5 linked regions of the Bombyx mori genome follow. The protein of the gene in region 1 purifies or fractionates together with the protein of each later gene. This does not show direct contact. Links are inferred from orthologs where the notes say so. Each region holds a gene or a part of one and is shown on either strand. Other genes may lie near its edges.

Evidence for each region.
Region 2: the proteins of COPZ (region 1) and COPB2 fractionate together in Homo sapiens (co-fractionation; 6 studies listed by BioGRID and IntAct, with this or other methods). This does not show direct contact. The link is inferred for Bombyx mori from reciprocal best matches to the Homo sapiens genes COPZ1 and COPB2.
Region 3: the proteins of COPZ (region 1) and COPA fractionate together in Homo sapiens (co-fractionation; 6 studies listed by BioGRID and IntAct, with this or other methods). This does not show direct contact. The link is inferred for Bombyx mori from reciprocal best matches to the Homo sapiens genes COPZ1 and COPA.
Region 4: the proteins of COPZ (region 1) and COPD fractionate together in Homo sapiens (co-fractionation; 5 studies listed by BioGRID and IntAct, with this or other methods). This does not show direct contact. The link is inferred for Bombyx mori from reciprocal best matches to the Homo sapiens genes COPZ1 and ARCN1.
Region 5: the proteins of COPZ (region 1) and COPB fractionate together in Homo sapiens (co-fractionation; 8 studies listed by BioGRID and IntAct, with this or other methods). This does not show direct contact. The link is inferred for Bombyx mori from reciprocal best matches to the Homo sapiens genes COPZ1 and COPB1.

The regions. Positions count from the first base shown.
Region 1 is NC_085108.1:4,792,927-4,796,047, forward strand, and holds part of COPZ (nonclathrin coat protein zeta 1-COP), read left to right. Parts: intron 1-1,056; coding exon 1,057-1,190; intron 1,191-2,498; coding exon 2,499-2,589; intron 2,590-3,121. UniProt on the Homo sapiens protein: The coatomer is a cytosolic protein complex that binds to dilysine motifs and reversibly associates with Golgi non-clathrin-coated vesicles, which further mediate biosynthetic protein transport from the ER, via the Golgi up to the trans Golgi network.
Region 2 is NC_085107.1:19,811,783-19,815,993, reverse strand, and holds the start of COPB2 (coatomer protein complex subunit beta 2), read left to right. Parts: upstream 1-1,392; 5' UTR 1,393-1,522; coding exon 1,523-1,525; intron 1,526-1,711; exon of another isoform or gene 1,712-1,726; coding exon of another isoform or gene 1,727-1,738; coding exon 1,739-1,897; intron 1,898-4,211. UniProt on the Homo sapiens protein: The coatomer is a cytosolic protein complex that binds to dilysine motifs and reversibly associates with Golgi non-clathrin-coated vesicles, which further mediate biosynthetic protein transport from the ER, via the Golgi up to the trans Golgi network.
Region 3 is NC_085132.1:3,509,484-3,513,794, reverse strand, and holds the start of COPA (coatomer protein complex subunit alpha), read left to right. Parts: upstream 1-1,501; 5' UTR 1,502-1,612; coding exon 1,613-1,840; intron 1,841-3,727; coding exon 3,728-3,844; intron 3,845-4,311. UniProt on the Homo sapiens protein: The coatomer is a cytosolic protein complex that binds to dilysine motifs and reversibly associates with Golgi non-clathrin-coated vesicles, which further mediate biosynthetic protein transport from the ER, via the Golgi up to the trans Golgi network.
Region 4 is NC_085130.1:5,914,454-5,917,385, reverse strand, and holds part of COPD (coatomer protein complex subunit delta), read left to right. Parts: intron 1-1,545; coding exon 1,546-1,696; intron 1,697-2,638; coding exon 2,639-2,750; intron 2,751-2,932. UniProt on the Homo sapiens protein: Component of the coatomer, a cytosolic protein complex that binds to dilysine motifs and reversibly associates with Golgi non-clathrin-coated vesicles, which further mediate biosynthetic protein transport from the ER, via the Golgi up to the trans Golgi network.
Region 5 is NC_085119.1:983,511-987,029, reverse strand, and holds part of COPB (coatomer protein complex subunit beta), read left to right. Parts: intron 1-642; coding exon 643-780; intron 781-853; coding exon 854-1,052; intron 1,053-1,674; coding exon 1,675-1,820; intron 1,821-2,410; coding exon 2,411-2,551; intron 2,552-3,154; coding exon 3,155-3,304; intron 3,305-3,370; coding exon 3,371-3,459; intron 3,460-3,519. UniProt on the Homo sapiens protein: The coatomer is a cytosolic protein complex that binds to dilysine motifs and reversibly associates with Golgi non-clathrin-coated vesicles, which further mediate biosynthetic protein transport from the ER, via the Golgi up to the trans Golgi network.

The sequences.
Region 1 (3,121 bases):
GATTGAACTGTCGATTATAAGCCCTATAGTCAAAGGCACTAACTAGTGCACTACCAAGTCAGTCACAAAGCTTTAGATACTAGAAAGTTATTAGTAAAGAAGAAAAATTTTCTTATAAGAACGCCAAAAGGTCCTCTGGACATGCAGATTTGTAATGTTTTTTTTTCATCTTCAATGTCTACAATCCTGTACTTTTATTAGATACGTTGAAATTCATTACGTAGGCAATAAGAGCATGACTCCAGCGAGCCATCTACTCTAAATTAAAGGTTTGTCATTGAACTACATGACGGTCAGCTTTTTTGTCTATTTATTTATTTATTTATTTATAACTTCTTATACTATAAAGTATAAAGGCGGACTTAATGCCATAGGCATTCTCTAACAGTCTATTTCTACATTCTCTAACAACCTTAGGGGAGTGCAAAGATGAAGCTTGGTAGGTGTAGTGTGAAGGTGATATTACTGAAACATAATAATATGTGTGTATATAACATACATAATATTTATAGATACAAATACTCGTACTTAAATAAATACATATACATAAATATATAGATATACATAAATATATACATATACGTATCATAAATATATACATATAAAAACATATATAAACAAATATTATATTATATTCAGTATTTCTTCAGGTTTAAATGTGTAATAACGGTGGTTTATTAACTGTTTAATATCTGTGAAAGTGCACAAATGCGGGAAAATGAAACAAAGCCGCTGTATGTAACTTCTTGGGATCCTCCAAATAGTCCACTGAAAAAATCTCAGTAAATGACTACCATTTTACTTAGAATATTTCATCCCATATCATTTCATTTAATTTCATCCCAGTTGATTAATGTCTCAAATTAATCATCTTAATTTCATTTCATTTCACTCCATATTATCATTTTTCATAAAAATAAGAATATAAATTAAAATAAGACATGACTTAAAGGTCTTAGTTCCCAGGTCATAAAATCCCTTATTAAAACATGACGGTCAGTCCATGGTATTAAGTTTAAGTTGCATATAAATTACTAAGTGACGTTATCTTTTCAGTTGATCCTTCAATCAGTATTGAATGCACTCTACGAGTCTGTTAGTTTGCTGCTAAGAAGGAACATGGAGCGGAGGGTCCTCATGGAGAACTTGGATGCTGTTATGCTTGCCTTCGATGAGATCTGCGACGGCGGGTATGTTGTAATTATTATTACTAGTGGTCGCCCGGTAGGCGAAATTCGACTATAATTAATTTAAATTATACCCTGCCTATTGCCGCCCTATCGCCCTGCCCATTTCTGCCGTGTAGCAGTAATGCGTTTCGGTATGAAGGGTGGGGCAGCCGTTGTAACTATACTGAGACCTTAGAACTTATATCTCAAGGTGGGTAGCGTCATTTTCGCTGTAGACGTGATGATTATAACAGAAATGATGATTATAGAAATGTGACCACAAAACCATAATAATAACGTTCAAACTTTTTATTTATTTATTGCTTAAGTGGGTGAACGAGATCACGGTCCACCTGGTGTTAAGTGGTTACTGGAGCCCATAGACATCTACAACGTAAATGCGCCCCCCACCTTGAGATATAAGTTCTAAGGCCTCAGTATAGTTACAACGGCTGCCCCACCCTTCAAACCGAAACGCATTACTGCTTCACGGCAGAAATAGGCAGGGTGGTGGTACCTACCCGTGCGGACTCACAAGAGGTCCTACCACCAGTAAAAGTCCAGTCTGTTTCACCGTACAAACTGGAATGCATGTCTGCTTCAGAGCAAGATGGGGTATACAAATGCATGTATCCCTTAATGATAATGCATAATTAATTCACACTAAAAAAGGGCGATAAATTTTCATAGTGCACAATAATAAATATTGTTACGCGGTGGTGCTCGGGATAAATATAACTTCTACCGAAGTAAAAATTAAAACTGACTTACAACACTTAAAGAAAACATTACAATTCGTAATTCACTTCAGGTTATCCGTTCGCTGTTTCGCTTCGAGTAGTACCGATTACTATCTGCTTTCGTGTATCTCTGCAAGGCTTTTATAGTCGATACGACATCTACAGAATTCAGTAGTTTCGATGTGTGTTTCCCCTATTTGATAATAGATGGCGTTGCACTTCTCGAGCGTTCTCGATTTTACTAGTTCTTTTGATATTCGTTTCTGCTGGGCGGCGATAGATGGCGTTACTTTTACAGGCGTAATAATATGTAAATTTTTTACTGGTGGCAGGACCTCTTGTGAGTCCGCGCGGGTAGGTACCACCACCTCGCCTATTTCTGCCGTGAAGCAGTAATGCGTTTCGGTTTGAAGGGTGGGGCAGCCGTTATAACTATACTGAGACCTTAGAACTTATATCTCAAGGTGGGTGGCGCATTTACGTTGTAGATGTCTATGGGCTCCAGTAACCACTTAACGCAAGGTGGGCTGTGAACTCGTCCACCCATAAAAGCAATAAAAAAAAAAAAAATTGTTTTGTGTAATTACAGTGTGATATTGGATGCTGATCCCACGTCGATCGTAAGCCGGGCAGCGCTGCGCACCGAGGACGTGCCCCTGGGAGAGCAAACAGTGGCCCAGGTAATTGATCAAGTCAATAGATTGTTTTGGTAGCGTACAGCTTGTTGCCGCGATGGATTGTTGTATACTCGAACCGAGGACGGTATCACATCAAATCTAATCACGCATGCGTTGCGTTCGAAGCCACTTTTATTTATTTTTTATATTATTAAAATTTATTAGGCACACAGTACACATCACAAGCTAAAAAAAGAAACATGTGTGCAATTCACACGTGTCAGAAGTGAAACCTTCAAAAATTAAAATACAATTACTTATCGTAAATGTCTAAGTATATGTAAAATTTTGTCATTAGTAAATAATTGTAAATCATCTTTTATAGTATGAGGTAGCGCCCTCTGTGAATCGATATTTTAACGTCACGTATAATCCTAAATTGAAATTCACTACGAGAGTTTTCATACGCACGTTAGTATTAAAAAATCGCATAGATGGCGCTGTATAAAAAATTTTCGACACTTCCGTTGCGTACCTGCGTGACGTTACATCTGTAAAAATTTTACCCTCATGCACCGAAAGAAGTTTCACTTCA
Region 2 (4,211 bases), on another chromosome or scaffold:
CATCTCTGCGCGGTATAAATACAAACAGGCTAATGGATAGGACATTGTTAGTGATATCTGCAACCCATTGACGTTAGCGTAGCGTTTGAATTTTTATTTATTGCTTCGTTGGGTGAACGAGCTCACGGCCCAACTGATTTTAAGTGGTGGCCGGAGCCCCTAGATGTTACAACGTAAATGCCCCCACGTGCAACCCACCTTGGGACATGAGTTGTAAGGTCTCACTTTAAAAGTACAACGGCTGCCCCACCCTTCAAACCGAAACGCATTACTGCTTCACGGCAGAAATAGACAAGGTGGTGGTGCCTACCCGTGCGAACTCATAAGACGTCCTACCACCAGAATGTCCTAATAGGTGCCTTATTTATGTGAACCCGGTGCCCAACATGAGCTATGAGACAAAAGTATTTTAAACTCGTGGTCATGATACGCGCTAACACCAGTAAGAGGGACGGCACGAAGAAGGTGCCACCATGGAAGCAGAGTATTTACTTTGTATTAAATTTATTAATTCAGTCCACGATTGTGTTTGTCAAATGAAGTCATTTAAAAATGGCGTTACTGTAGCACAACTTCTAAATTAAAAAGGAAAGGCAAAGGTTTTATTATTATTAATAATATGCGATTTTTAAAATATAGATTTCATAACAAACGTATTTTTTTTTCTCTTAGGTACTATAATAACCATACATAATATTTATATCTTTATGATTTACGACTTCTCATAACTTTTTCATTAATTTCTATAACCAATCTCAATCTGTTTGGAAACTGCGTTCCTGAAATTTTTTGGCCATTGTTAGGAAGCAATCTTCCTTCTATTTTGAACAATTTTGTACTGGAAGAGTAAAAACCCATATGAGAGAATTTTCCTTTAAACTGTTTTTATGGGGAGATAATGTAACAGGAAGTAAAATGACCAAATTCACGTACTTATTTTCCAAACCAGAACATCCGAAAGAATGTTATCACGACTATTATTTTATGCTTTGGTAAGGAGTGGACGGCGAATAGTATGATTATTTTTATTGTTTAGCAATTATTCTTATTTACGTTACGTAATTTATGAGTATAAATTTACCTTCTAAAAAAGAAGATAATAACCTCTCAATTTCAAAATTTAGTTAAATGTAATTAATATTAATTTCACTAGAAACAGACGTTTCTTGTTGAACTATTAAAATCTAGAAAGAAAATGGAGGTCATATTACTGATCTGTGATGAAGATGTTATAAAAAAAAAAACAAACATAGAAACATAGATTTTGTAGTATTAAACTTTTTATTACATTTTATTTTCAGTTTTGTAGATAAAATTTTATTCTTTGCAATTTTTAATTTCGTATGGCTTAAAATGTCTCGTTGGGATGCGAAAGCCGTACTTAACCGCTAAATCGTAATAATTTCGCGTATCCGATAAAACCGGTTTTGAATAAATCTAAAGTGACACGTCCACCCACCCTGTCAAACATCTACTGGTCCTGTAAATCTGCATGACGATTTTCATGTTTTAACCATTAAAAATGGTAAGAAAACAATTTTTACACTGAAATGCGTTTAAGTGATCGATATTCCAAAGACAAGATTTTCGAAAAAGTTAAAGCCACGTAATGCGCAGTCGTCATCACTTTGTCATCTTTGTAATGTCGGCACTTGCGCGATGCAAAAATTCATTTGTAATTAAGGGTAGTTTCATGTGTTGAGTGCATTTATAACGTGGTATCGCTATGTTTCTGAAGCCTCTGCGTCTGGATATCAAGAGGAAGCTGACGGCGCGGTCGGACCGAGTGAAATGCGTCGACCAGCACCCGTCGGAACCCTGGCTGCTCTGCTCCCTGTATTCAGGAGACGTTAACATATGGAATTATGAGACTCACGCTCAAATTAAGAGATTTGAGGTCAGTTTATGTACAATATATTAATACAATATAGTATTTTGGTTTCAAAATAATTTTACAAAACTCAAATTCGTAGCTTATTTTCGAAAACAACTGTACTGTTTTGAAACCATAGTACTTAAACATTAAATGCGAAATGAAACTGTAGCCGATTTAATCTTCTAGTACTTCTAAGAAAAGTGTATTAAAAAGTATCTGTGTCTGTAAAATTTTATAATTTTACTGCCACTCACTGCTAAGCTAGCTCTAATTTAAGATAATTACATAGAACTTTGATCTACAATATATGGCTATAGCCAATTTAATTTCCTCCCATAGATAATCAATATTATAATATTTCATTTATAAAACAAATGAAGGGTCCTTATCATGATTTCATTCACCACATTGCAAGTCTTGAAAGACGCGAAGTTAAAACTTATAATTTATTTTGTAAGGTATTTTATGTAAATATGATCTTTATTCATAATCACAACATATTTTTGTGCAATTTCCTTGAATAATACAATAAATAAGAAATTCACCATAAACAAACAATAAAAACATAATTATTTACTATTCTGAACGTAATCTGGACTCCTGTTTCTATGAAACTGATTTCTTATTCAAACTTAATGTGTTAAAAATATTTTCCCTAAGTAACCTGATAATAAATATATATTTCTCTGTTATCTTTACATTACAAAACAATTAAGTTTTATCTGTTAAACAGTGACTGAAATAAAAATATTACATGGAATTTATTTATTTTAAAAGCTATGACTGTTTGTTAGAGATAATAATAATATGTTCTAAATATATGCAAAATTATATAAAAAATAGTCAGTTAAATTCTAAAATGTGAATAAGATATATCTAATGGAATGTTCTTTGTAATGAAAATTAAATTATTTAATTACCATTATAAAATTTCTTCTAAAGTATGTAGTGATTCACACTTGAATGATTTAAATTAGCCATGCACCTCTTTTTTTCTGACTAGTATAATTTTTATTGTCCTGGATGGTTTTGGCTATTAATGTTTCTCACTTGTTTCAAAATAGTTACTCACTGTTTAGACTGGAGTTTATTCCTGCCTTGTGTCAGATAAGAGTATTCAGAAATACTGCTCTAATAGTAATAGACAACCAGTGTAGTTCACAATTCCGTCCACCATGAGTGAGGTCAATTGTAATAAATGTTCTGCCTTTCGAAAGAGAATCCATATTTGCTTTGCTGTAGAAATAGGTAGAATGGTGACAGTTACTTGGATGGACCTACAGTATACTACCACTAGTAGTAGTAAGTAATTACATTAATTTATGACTATGGATCTTTGTTACTCAATATTATTATTTTCTCATAGCTCAAAAATAATCTGGAATATATAGCCACTCAAGGCCAAAATATTCATTAGCCTGACAGAAATTGTTAGTTTTCCCAGATTAAGATGTACATTGTATTAAGCTCTGCCATCAAAAACCTCCACAGTGAATTTACATCTAAAGTATTTATATTTTCTCTGGTCAACAGTACGAAACTGCATGCAAAAGCCCTGTTGATATGATTTGATAACTAGTACACCCAAGATGCTTTCAGCTTAGGTTGCAAAAGGTACTGCTTGAAGAGTGCATTCTCTGTACCAAGAAGGTAATGAATATTGGTCCAAGTAAGGTAATATTATGGTTGATGCTGTATTTGAGCCTCAATGAAGACATTTAATATTTTGGGATAGTCACCACTAATCTGAGTAGGTCTCATTGACTCCCCACCTGATATTAATAGTGATGATATTCCCTCATGGAAGTGATAAATATTAATAGCTCGACAAAAATTCATACTTGCCTGTGATATTTGAACATCAGAACACTTGTATCTCTTGAAATTATTACCAGAGGCATCTCATTTAGGTTTTGATGATTATAACTTCATTTCAGCTCCTCTGTAGTTTGGTTCTTGCACAAAAATTAAACGTAAAACTGTTCAACAATAGCAGCAGCGACACAAAAAAAAACTGAAGTAAAATTAAATAGTTTTCTAATAAAAGATATCAAGAATATTCATTATTTGTCATGATGGATGAATTATAGATTAATCATATATATTAGAATCGGTTCCAACTACTATTAATTATGAACCTGAATGATGACAGTTTCACCATTGAAAGTACTCATTGAATTGAAAGAAATCCATCATTATTAAATATGTAATATTATGAAATAAATCATGGAAAACTTGCACATAAACATGCTTTTTAGCATATAAGCTTTGATTCTTAGATTATAGCTATCTAAGATTATAGCAATAGAGAATCATAAGTAACAACAAATTTCAA
Region 3 (4,311 bases), on another chromosome or scaffold:
GTGGTGTGAGCCAGCACAAGCAAATACCAGTACTCTGCCTATTCAATTATTCTGTCACGAAGCAGTAATGCATTTCTGTATGAAGGATGGGGCAGCTGTTGTACTTTAATACTGAGACTTAAAACTCATATCTAGGGATCGATAGTGGCATTAAGGTTACGATGTCTCTGGGTTTTATTTCAGAAAGAAATTATAAAGGACTTGGCTTCTGCCTTAATGATTTTTTTATTTCAGGATATAATATAAATCATATAAGACCTGGCTTCGGCTTTTTTGAAAATTCATTTTAGAAATTATATACAACACACAAGGCTGTATGGGTTTAGATCCCCTTGCCTTTCCTAATAAGGAAAAATTGAATCAAAAAATGTCTATGGGCTCTAGTGACCACTTAATACCAGATGGGCCTGGACTTTGTCTCGTCTCTCACTCGTCTAAATAATTAAAAAATATTGTTGCAGTAAGCAATGGCGTTGCTGGCTTTCCACTTTACTACTTTGACTACTTACCAGGTGGAACGTGTGCTCGTCTCCCTACCACGGAAAAAACGTTAGTAAGGAAGAGGGTACCACCACCACTACCACCAGTATTTGTTTTTCCTCTATTATTTCATCTACTAAAATATCATAATCGACTTGGATGATGCAAAATATTCTCACTTATTTTCGTAAAATCTTACTAGCCATAATAATATATTTTATCTACATAATTAATTACTGATTATTGTTAGTGCTACGATATGGTTCGTGAAAATCTATGTTATACTGACATCTAAGTTGAAATAAATGATTTTTGAACCTTATTTATATTATTAACTCAAAACACTCACAGCTAACATCGTCTTGGCTTATAGGATAAGACATCCGGTGCATTCGTGTTGAGCGATGCACCGGTGTTTCGAATCCCAGGCGGGTACCAATTTTACTAATGAAATACGTACTCAACAAATGTTCACGATTGACTCCCAAGGTGGAGGTATAACATCGTGTAATAAAAATCAAACCCGCAAAATTATAATTTGCGTAATTACTGGTGGTAGGGTCTCTTGTGAGTCCGCGCGGGTAGGTACCAGCATTAGTTCTGCCGTGAAGCAGTAATGCGTTTCGGATTGAAGGGTGGGGCAGCCGTTGTAACTATACTTGAGACCTTAGAACTTATATCTCAAAATGGATGGCGCATTTACGTTGTAGATGTCTATGGGCTCCAGTAACCACTTAACACCAGGTGGGCTGTAAGCTCCTCCACTCATCTAAGCAATAAATAAAAAAGCTAACCATTGATTCATCAGGAAAGATAAATTTAACTCAACCAGGCTACCCGACTCTCAAAGTTTTTTAATAACGCTAATTATACTGATGATTACAACCATTAAGAAGATACGAAATATGTGATTTTAATTGGTGTGTTTATTCGTTTCCATTCAAAATTAGTTAATGATTTGATCAAATTAACATCGATAGTTTTGTTCAGATTTGTCGATATTTTCAATTTTGATCAATTACAAGCTCAGCACTATTCTGTGTTGGACGTGTCACGTCAGCCGGTTGGCTGTCATTGCGCTTGTTTTAATTTTTGTAGTTTTTCGTATTATTTCAGCGGTGTTTGAATCAAAATGTTAAAAAAATTCGAGACGAAGTCTGCGCGGGTGAAAGGCATATCGTTTCATGCTAAGCGACCATGGGTGCTGGCTAGTTTGCACAATGGTGTGATTCAACTTTGGGATTATCGTATGTGTACATTACTTGAGAAATTTGATGAACATGATGGTCCAGTACGTGGAATTTGCTTCCATATTCAACAGCCTCTTTTCGTGTCGGGCGGAGATGACTACAAGATTAAGGTATAAGCCCTAATATGCCGTTAGTTCTTTTGCTAGTATAATTACAATTATTGTTGATATTAATCTGTCATGCTTTTGACACGTATTCCGGGCATGGAATGTTTGGTTTTGTGCATCTTTGCGAAGGCGAAATGTTTTTAGATTTTAATAATTTTATAAGTAAGCTAAGATTAAGACAATGTTATTTTGTTTAGTTTCAAAATTTAAAGCACTGATATTACAAATTTTAACCATTTTTGTTTTGATAAAGAACTGATTCGTTAACAAAACTTAGGTTTTTATAATTTCAAGTATTTTGTCCAAATGCATGCAACAAAAATGCCCTTCTAAAGCTAGTACTGTATAATGCGTTTATTGAAGTTTGAACACAATGTGAATGCTACTCACTGCCTATATTTATATACTAGAACCAAAGTTTCTATTTTATTAGAATTATGTGGAATATTTTTGGTAAAAACAAATTTTAAGAATTTAAACTAGCAGTAAGCCGACTTCACCTAATAGGTGTGTGGCTCTAATAAAGAATAAATAAATGAAAAAGGTAGCAGTAGATGGGAGAGTGGTACCATATTATCTCATCTCATGTGAGCTTGCAACTCTTCATAAATACTGAAAATAGGAATTAGAGAAAGATTTAGGTTGGAAAATAAGCCGAGGTTATTATTACAGTGGATAAGCTATTGCCATTCATTATTAAGATCTGAGATAGGGTTTCGTTGAGTGGATTTGAATTGTTGGATGTGTTTATTGTTTGCATAAATAAATAAATAAGTACACCATGGAGAAGTACTTGAAGTAGTTTGAAAAGGTTGTAGTCTAAAATAAAAGTAATTGCACATAATTACACAACAATTAAAATATTTTTGTCATTAAAGATTTCATTCTTTTACTAACTAAATTCTACTTTATTTATTTTTTATTATGTGTTTTAAAATAACTCACAGCAAACATTTTTTGTAGTGACTACATCTACATAGGATACTAGAGTATTAGAAGCATAGATGTTAAAACATGCATCACTTACGGTAGAATATGAGTTTGAAGTATCAATTAAATTATTGTAAAGGCTGTTTTACTGTTGTGTCAGAACGCATAACTGGTCTGTCCCAAAAATAGTCAGTTGTATATAATCATGCACTTTAATGATGTGTTTTAGCACCTGTAAGACTATGTAGTGTAGAGCTATGGAATTGAAAATAATTGAAATCATTTAAATTTGTATTATATATTGTGTTTGAAAAAAATTAATAATGCTGAGACTTTCAAGGAAGCCATACTTGCAGTATATATAACTATAAAGGTTTTATTTACATCTCAATTTACTTTTCATAATTCACAAAAGGTTTTTTAAATACATTTAAACCTTAAAAAGCTAAGCTTTAGCCGGAATGGTTTGACTATTTTGTAATGGCTTTTGATTTCTTTTCAACAAGATCCCACTAAACGTTCAACTACTACCTGTTCATAGATTTAAGAAAACTGTTAAGGAATGTTTGTGCAACAAGGCATATTATAAAGTTAAGGATTATTTACTAGATGGCACTACGTGGGAATGAGGCGCTCGCTCCTGGCCTTTTCATTTTTCATTATTAATATTATTATTTTTATTGTATTTTTTTGACTTGTTTTTTCTTTTATTGTGAATATTTCTATTTATTTAAAAAAAAAGAAAATATTTGAGAAAAAACAAAAAAAAAAGCCCGCTGAGTTTGTTTCGCCGGTTTTTCTCAGGACTGTGGCTTTTTTTGGAACTGGTGGTAGAGTTAACATTGTTATTTGTATTTTGACATTCAACAAGTGTGTCATACTGACATCTAAGTTGAAATAAATGATTTTGAATTTGAATTTGAATTTGATTATGATATTAACACAATTTTTTTTTATCAGGTCTGGAACTACAAACAAAGAAGATGTCTATTCACATTGCTTGGTCACTTGGATTATATACGTACAACATTCTTCCATCATGAATACCCATGGATTTTAAGTGCATCTGATGATCAGGTAACTAAATTCATTGTTTAAAGCATATCTGTTTAAGTAAGCATTTCATAAACAGGCTAAATTTTACTAAATAGATTGTACATTTTTTTGCAACTAAATTATTTAGGCATCATAATTTTTACGATGAAACTAATGAACTTGCTACTTAATTAATGAATGAATTAAGTGTAATTTGTATAATAAATAATATATTCATTTTTATTTACTAGAAGATATTCAAATATGTACATACAATACAATAATCCACCATTGTAGGTAACCAGATCATGGGCTGCATACAAAATTATTAACAGCTATCAAATTACTTTTGTTGCATTAGTGCATCAGTAGTATTTGTAGAGGTAATAAAAAAAAATTAACTTTTGTAGTTTAATCTCATGTATATTATTGTGATTATGTTATGTAATTTTAAAACATTGTGCTGTCTATTTAGTAGCCTAAAAAAATCAATTTATTGCTTTATTTCA
Region 4 (2,932 bases), on another chromosome or scaffold:
GTCACTGCGAAGATGATGCTTAGTTTTTTAGGGGATTTTATGACCTGGTAACTAAGACCTTTAAGTCATGTCTTATTTTAATTTATATTCTCACTTTTATGTAAAGTTATAATATGGAGTGAAATTAAATTAAATGAAGATGATTAATTTGAGACATTAATCAACTGGGTTGAAATTAAATTAAATGAGATGATATGGAATGAAATATAATATCAGTAAAATGGTGGTCATTTACTGAGATTTTTTCAGTGGACTTTTTGAAGGATCCCGAGAAGTTACGTCCAGCGGCTTTGTTTCATTTTCCCATATTTGTGCACTTTCACAGATATCAAGCAGTTAATAAACCACTGTTATTATACATTTTAACCTGAAGAAACACTAAATAGTCAAAATAAATAAATGACAATTGGTCATTCGTGTCCGAGCCGTTGCACAGAACGGATCTCTCTGGAACGTTGTTATGCTTCTCGTGAAATATACGCTGCTCACCAAGTTCTCGTGAAGTTTTGTTTCGGAAGCCCAAACATGAGTCATCGTCGAGAAAGTAATAACTGTGACGTCATATAATTAACCGGACCATAATTATAGCAGCATTAAACAATAAAGTACGATTAATCCCATGATCAACACATAATCAAATACACAACAACAGTGATTATAGTGTGATTGATCAAACCGGGACTTAAACAACACTAACTAAACCCGTGATTATAGTGTGATTGATCAAACCGGGACTTAAACAACACTAACTAAACCCGTGATTATAGTGTGATTGATCAAACCGGGACTTAAACAACACTAACTAAACCCGTGATTATAGTGTGATTGATCAAACCGGGACTTAAACAACACTAACTAAACCCGTGATTATAGTGTGATTGATCAAACCGGGACTTAAACAACACTAACTAAACCCGTGATTATAGTGTGATTGATCAAACCGGGACTTAAACAACACTAACTAAACCCGTGATTATAGTGTGATTGACCAAACCGGGACTTAAACAACACTAACTAAACCCGTGATTATAGTGTGATTGATCAAACCGGGACTTAAACAACACTAACTAAACCCGTGATTATAGTGTGATTGATCAAACCGGGACTTAAACAACACTAACTAAACCCGTGATTATAGTGTGATTGATCAAACCGGGACTTAAACAACACTAACTAACCCGTGATTAAAGTGTGATTGATAAGTAAAGTAATTATAGCAATTTTGCTAAACCGCGATTAAAGCTCGTTCAATAGTACTTTTTTTTTATTGCTTTGGTGGGTGGACGAGCTAACAGCCCACCTGGTATAAAGTGGTTACTGGAGCCCATAGACGTAAATGCTCCATCCACCTTGAGATATAATTTCTAAGATCTCAGTATAGTTACAACGGCTGCCCTACACCCTTCAAACCGAAACCCATTACTGCTTCATGGCAGAAATAGGCGGGGTGGTGGTACCTACCCGTGCGGACTCACAAGAGGTCCTACCACCAGAAATAATCACCAGTGATTAAATCAGCATTAATTAAACGACGATTTATCTCAGACCCATCCAAACGTGGACAAAGAAGCGTTCCGCTCGACCGGCGTGATTGGGCTGAAGCAGGCTCAACGCCCCTTCCCGATGCACAGCGACGTCGGAGTCCTCAAGTGGAGGCTGGCCACTACCAACGATGACAAGCTGGCTCCGCTTTCCGGTGAGACATGTGATACGTGACCTTTTGAGCGCGAACCGTCGATATATCGACGCTCTATTAATACGTATGAAGTATGGAGCGTCGAAATATCGACGTTTTGCACAGTTTGATTATAAGTAAAATAGGACCTGTATGACGTTTTTATTCGTTTGAATTTAGCATTGATTCTTGTATAATTTTTTAAGGTACTTTTTTTCAGAAATTCTTTAGCAATTTCTGCAGAAATTATTATTTATTTTTGCAGTAAAAGGGTTAAAGATAACTGTGGTAACTTTAAAGACACGACCGAGTTCGTTGCCCCCTGAATTCGGTCCGCTCATAATTTGAGAAGTGTTTGTCGATTTTCACAGCGAACTTTTGTTTGGTCTGAAATAAAGAAAATCCTTTGTCTGTTTGCTCGCGTAGACACAACCCACTGAGTTTCTCGCCCGGAACTTCTCAGTGCGTCGCGATTCTGATCTGGTGGTGGATTCAGCGAAGCTCTTGCTAGGGCCAATGTTAGAAAACTGACCTACCAGCTAGAGCACAACAAGAATAGCATTTAGGCTACCATCGACATTTAGTTTTAATTTTTTTTATTGCATAGTGGACGAGCTCACAGCCCACCTGGTGTTAAGTGGTTACTGGAGCCCATAGACATTCACAACGTAAATGCGCCAACCACCTCGAGATATAAGTTCTAAGGTCTCAAGTATAGTTACAACGGCTGCCCCGCCCTTCAAACCGAAACGCATTACTGCTTTAGAAACAGGCAGGGCGGTGGTACCCGCGCGGACTCACAGGAGGTCCTACCACCAGTAATAAATTAGGAGTAGTTATTGACGCTTCAATATTAAGCGCGTATACGGCTTTTGGTATTTTCTGTATTCTGAGCGTTTAGGCTAACCGCGATTTAGTAGAGAAATATAGATTTAGGTATTAACAGACATTTTTTTCTTCCAGTAAACTGTTGGCCGTCCGAAGGCGTCAACGGAGGATGTGACGTCAATATCGAATACGAGCTGGAGCAGGATCACCTGGTGTTGACAGATGTCAATATCACCATACCGCTTCCGTGAGTGCTTTGACAACCATTGCGCGTTCATAGTATCATTAGGGCCGCCAACGTCATGTACCTACTTACTCATATTTATTTATTTATTTATCAGTCAACCAGTCAACCAAAAGTAGTGCAGAGTAAATAGTGGTAGGTGCAATGAAATTTATATTAAGTTGAAAATACATACAGAAAAAAGT
Region 5 (3,519 bases), on another chromosome or scaffold:
CGGTTCAAAACCTGCATTAAATAAAGGTTAATAGTTAACCTGTTATTTATCTAAGATGTCGTTCCGAAGAGTTTTGTGACTGCCGATGGAATACAAAGTCAATAATTCGTTTTTCTGATTTACCAATCATTGTCCAAAAGTCAGATTGCCGCCTTTGATAATAGTCGACTCATATGTTTTAATGTAGTAACATTAGTAAATAATTCTAGTGACCATAAATTGAAGGATATATTTTGCTCATAAATGTCAAAACAGATAGTAATTCTTGGATTAGTTGCGGAGGATAGCTACATAGTTGTAGGCAGCTGAGACAAACTTGGGCAGAGTTATACAACTTGGAAATATATGCACTCTCAAAGTAGGATGGTGTCTGAATCTATAAAGAATGTCTTCATAGATGCTTACTATCATTACTGAATCGAGAGCATAATAAAGGACTAAATAAATAATTAAAAACGAAAAGATGTAATTTAACAATGTAAAGAATTTTGAGATAAAATGTTTTTTTATGAATAATAATAATAATTAAAAAATCGGTATAGAAAAGAAAATATTCAAAATTTACAAAATTTGTGACATAAGGTCGAATTTAGCTTAAGTAAGTGAATATCGAAGTGGCAGTAACTATCTGTACGGGTGCAGGTCTGCCACACGAACCCGTCGGAGCGCTCCCGGTTCATCCGCACCGTGTACGGGCTGCTCAACGCCAGCAGCGCCGCCGTCCGGTACGAGGCCGCCGGCACGCTCGTCACCCTCTCCAACGCGCCCGCCGCCATCAAGGTGCGTCGACCCCCCGCCGTCCCCCCAACGCCCCCCACCGTCCCCCCACCCGACTGACCGTGCCCGTGCGCAGGCGGCGGCGGCGTGCTACATCGACCTCGTGGTGAAGGAGAGCGACAACAACGTGAAGCTGATTGTCGTGGGGCGGCTGGGAGCCCTGCGCGCCGAGGGCGGGGAGGGGGCCGCGCGCGCCCTGCCCGACCTGGCCATGGACGTGCTGCGCGTGCTCGCCTCCTCCGACCTCGACGTCAGGAAGCACACGCTGCAGCTCGGTAATGTATCCGCACTAGACATGCCACGAATATTCGGCTACTATTTGGTATTCGGTCACTTTGTTTGGTATTCGGTATTCCGCCGAATAATAGGCACTATTCGGCCGAATACCGAAAAATGACGGGCAGGTCTCAAATCATGTTTCGTCAAAAAATTCGAATCATAATTTTGTTTATTATTTTCACTAGAAATCTCATAATATTCTCATATGGCCGATTTTCTATTAATTGGTGTCACTTTTTAATGAACAAACAATTGAAAAAGAACTAACGAACAAACTTTGCTACAAAATCGTAATGTTTTATTTAATTTGTTATTTATATTGATCTGACAAAGCGTGCCGTGACGTGATTTACTCGCAACTGAAACAGTCAAATGGCCCGACACCGCCCGCGCACGGTGGAGACAGGTCCCGATCTGTCCTATTATTCTTTACGCGCTCGACTAACTAGCATGTACTTTGTGCCGAATGTTCGGCGCTTCGGCCGACAGCGTTGCCGAATATTCGGTATTCGGTATTCGGCCAAATCACTATTCGTGGCAACTCTAACCCGCACTCAGCGTCTCGCACTACACCTTGCTACAGTCCCATTGATGTATCGGTGTTGTATGATGACGCAGCGCTGGAGCTGGTGAGCGCGCGGCACGCGGAGGAGCTGGTGCAGGTGCTGCGCAAGGAGGCGGCGCGGGCGCACTCCGCCGACCACGACGACGCCGCCAAGTACCGCCAGCTGCTCGTGCGCGCCATGCACAAGGCCGCGCTCAAGGTTCGCTCCCTTCCACTTCTAACGATGCCGTTCATACTTCATTCGTAAATATTATTTAATACAAGTGCGTCGCAGAAAAAAAGGATTGTGTGGTTTTATGAAACCACAGTAAAAGTGAAACTTTTTTCACATTATAGACATTTTACTCTGACTAACAAAATTTACATTAAACACTGACAAAAACAAACAAAATAGCGTGGAGCACTGGCACAAATCAGTAATAGTTATATACTACACGGTCAGCTGCTGCGAACTATAGGCGCCGCCATATTGGCCTTGGCTGCTCTGACGAGCGCCTTGCACTTTCTCCCTACTCCGCGGCTGACCGTCACGCGACATGCAACACACAGACGAAAAAGTTTGAGACGATATAATAAAAGTTTCACTTTAATTCAATTAATTTCATTTTGCTCTTTAGTTCTGATTCATGTGACTTTGCCGGAGTTCGAATCCCACAGACAAGTACACATATGTCTAATGAAGTACGTAGTTATCTCATGTTCACGAATGACTGAACTGTGACGGAATAACATTGTGTCATAAAGCTGGGTAGTGGTGGGCGTGCTGCGTAAGTCCGTTGCGTCCCGCAGTTCCCGGAGGTGGCTGGCAGCGTGGCGCCGGCGCTGCTGGAGCTGCTGGGCGAGGGCAGCGAGGCGGCGGCGCACGACGTGCTGCTGTTCCTGCGCCACGCGCTGCACGCCTTCCCCGACCTCAGGGACCACATCTACCAGGTTACTCCCCGCCCCGTACTGCTCAACTGGACGAGCACTACGGCTCTTCGCCTTATATTTTGTTCACCCATTTTGTTGTATTTGGGTCCTTGGGTTTGTAGATGGGTCGGTGACCCCACGAGGAGGAAGAGTCGTTTTGACTTTAGATATTGTTTTAATAGAAAAATACCCATCGAAAACAATTGCACCTACATGGCTTGGTAAAACATGACCACTGGCCACGGGGTACTAGGTGGCGAGTAGTGTGATGGGAGAATACAGCTTTCGGTTAGTTCTAGATACAGACCATATTCTATGAATGGTCCTGTGTAGTAAGTACACTGGGATTCATGTCTTCGAAGTCCAGGCCGCTGCCTACCGTTAAATACTTTCCGCAAGTTTCGTTTGAAGAAGGACATGTCATAGCGCTCGGGAAGCACCGTGGAGGGGAGCTCGTTGCCGGATGGCACGTGGCAAAAAATATCTCTGGAAACGCACTGGATGAACGCAGCGGTTATAGGTTCAATAGTTCTGCAAAATGTATTTGTTTATATTAGTCGATCCAAGATATCATAACGTTGTGATGCCGAGACAGCACACACTACAGCGCGCCTCGTGTCGCAGAAACTGGTGGAGTCCGTGCGCAGCGTGCGCGTGGGCAGGCCGGCCCGCGCCGCGCTGTGGCTGCTCGCGCAGTTCGCCGACACGCCGGGCCGCGCGCGCGCCGCGCTGCACGTGCTCGCCGACGTCATCGAGGGCGCCGCCGACACGCAGGTAGTGACGTCACACCCGCCACCACAGCGCCACAAGCGGACCCGACTCATCTCTGTGTGCTTGTAGCAGCCGGAGAGCGGGCCGGCCGCGGCGCCGCGCCGCCTCGTCACCAGCGACGGCACCTACGCCACGCAGTCCGCCTTCAACCTGCCCGCGTGAGTGCCGCGACGGCCCATACTTGTTATTTGTAGTGTAATGATTGTGTTCCTAGTGCC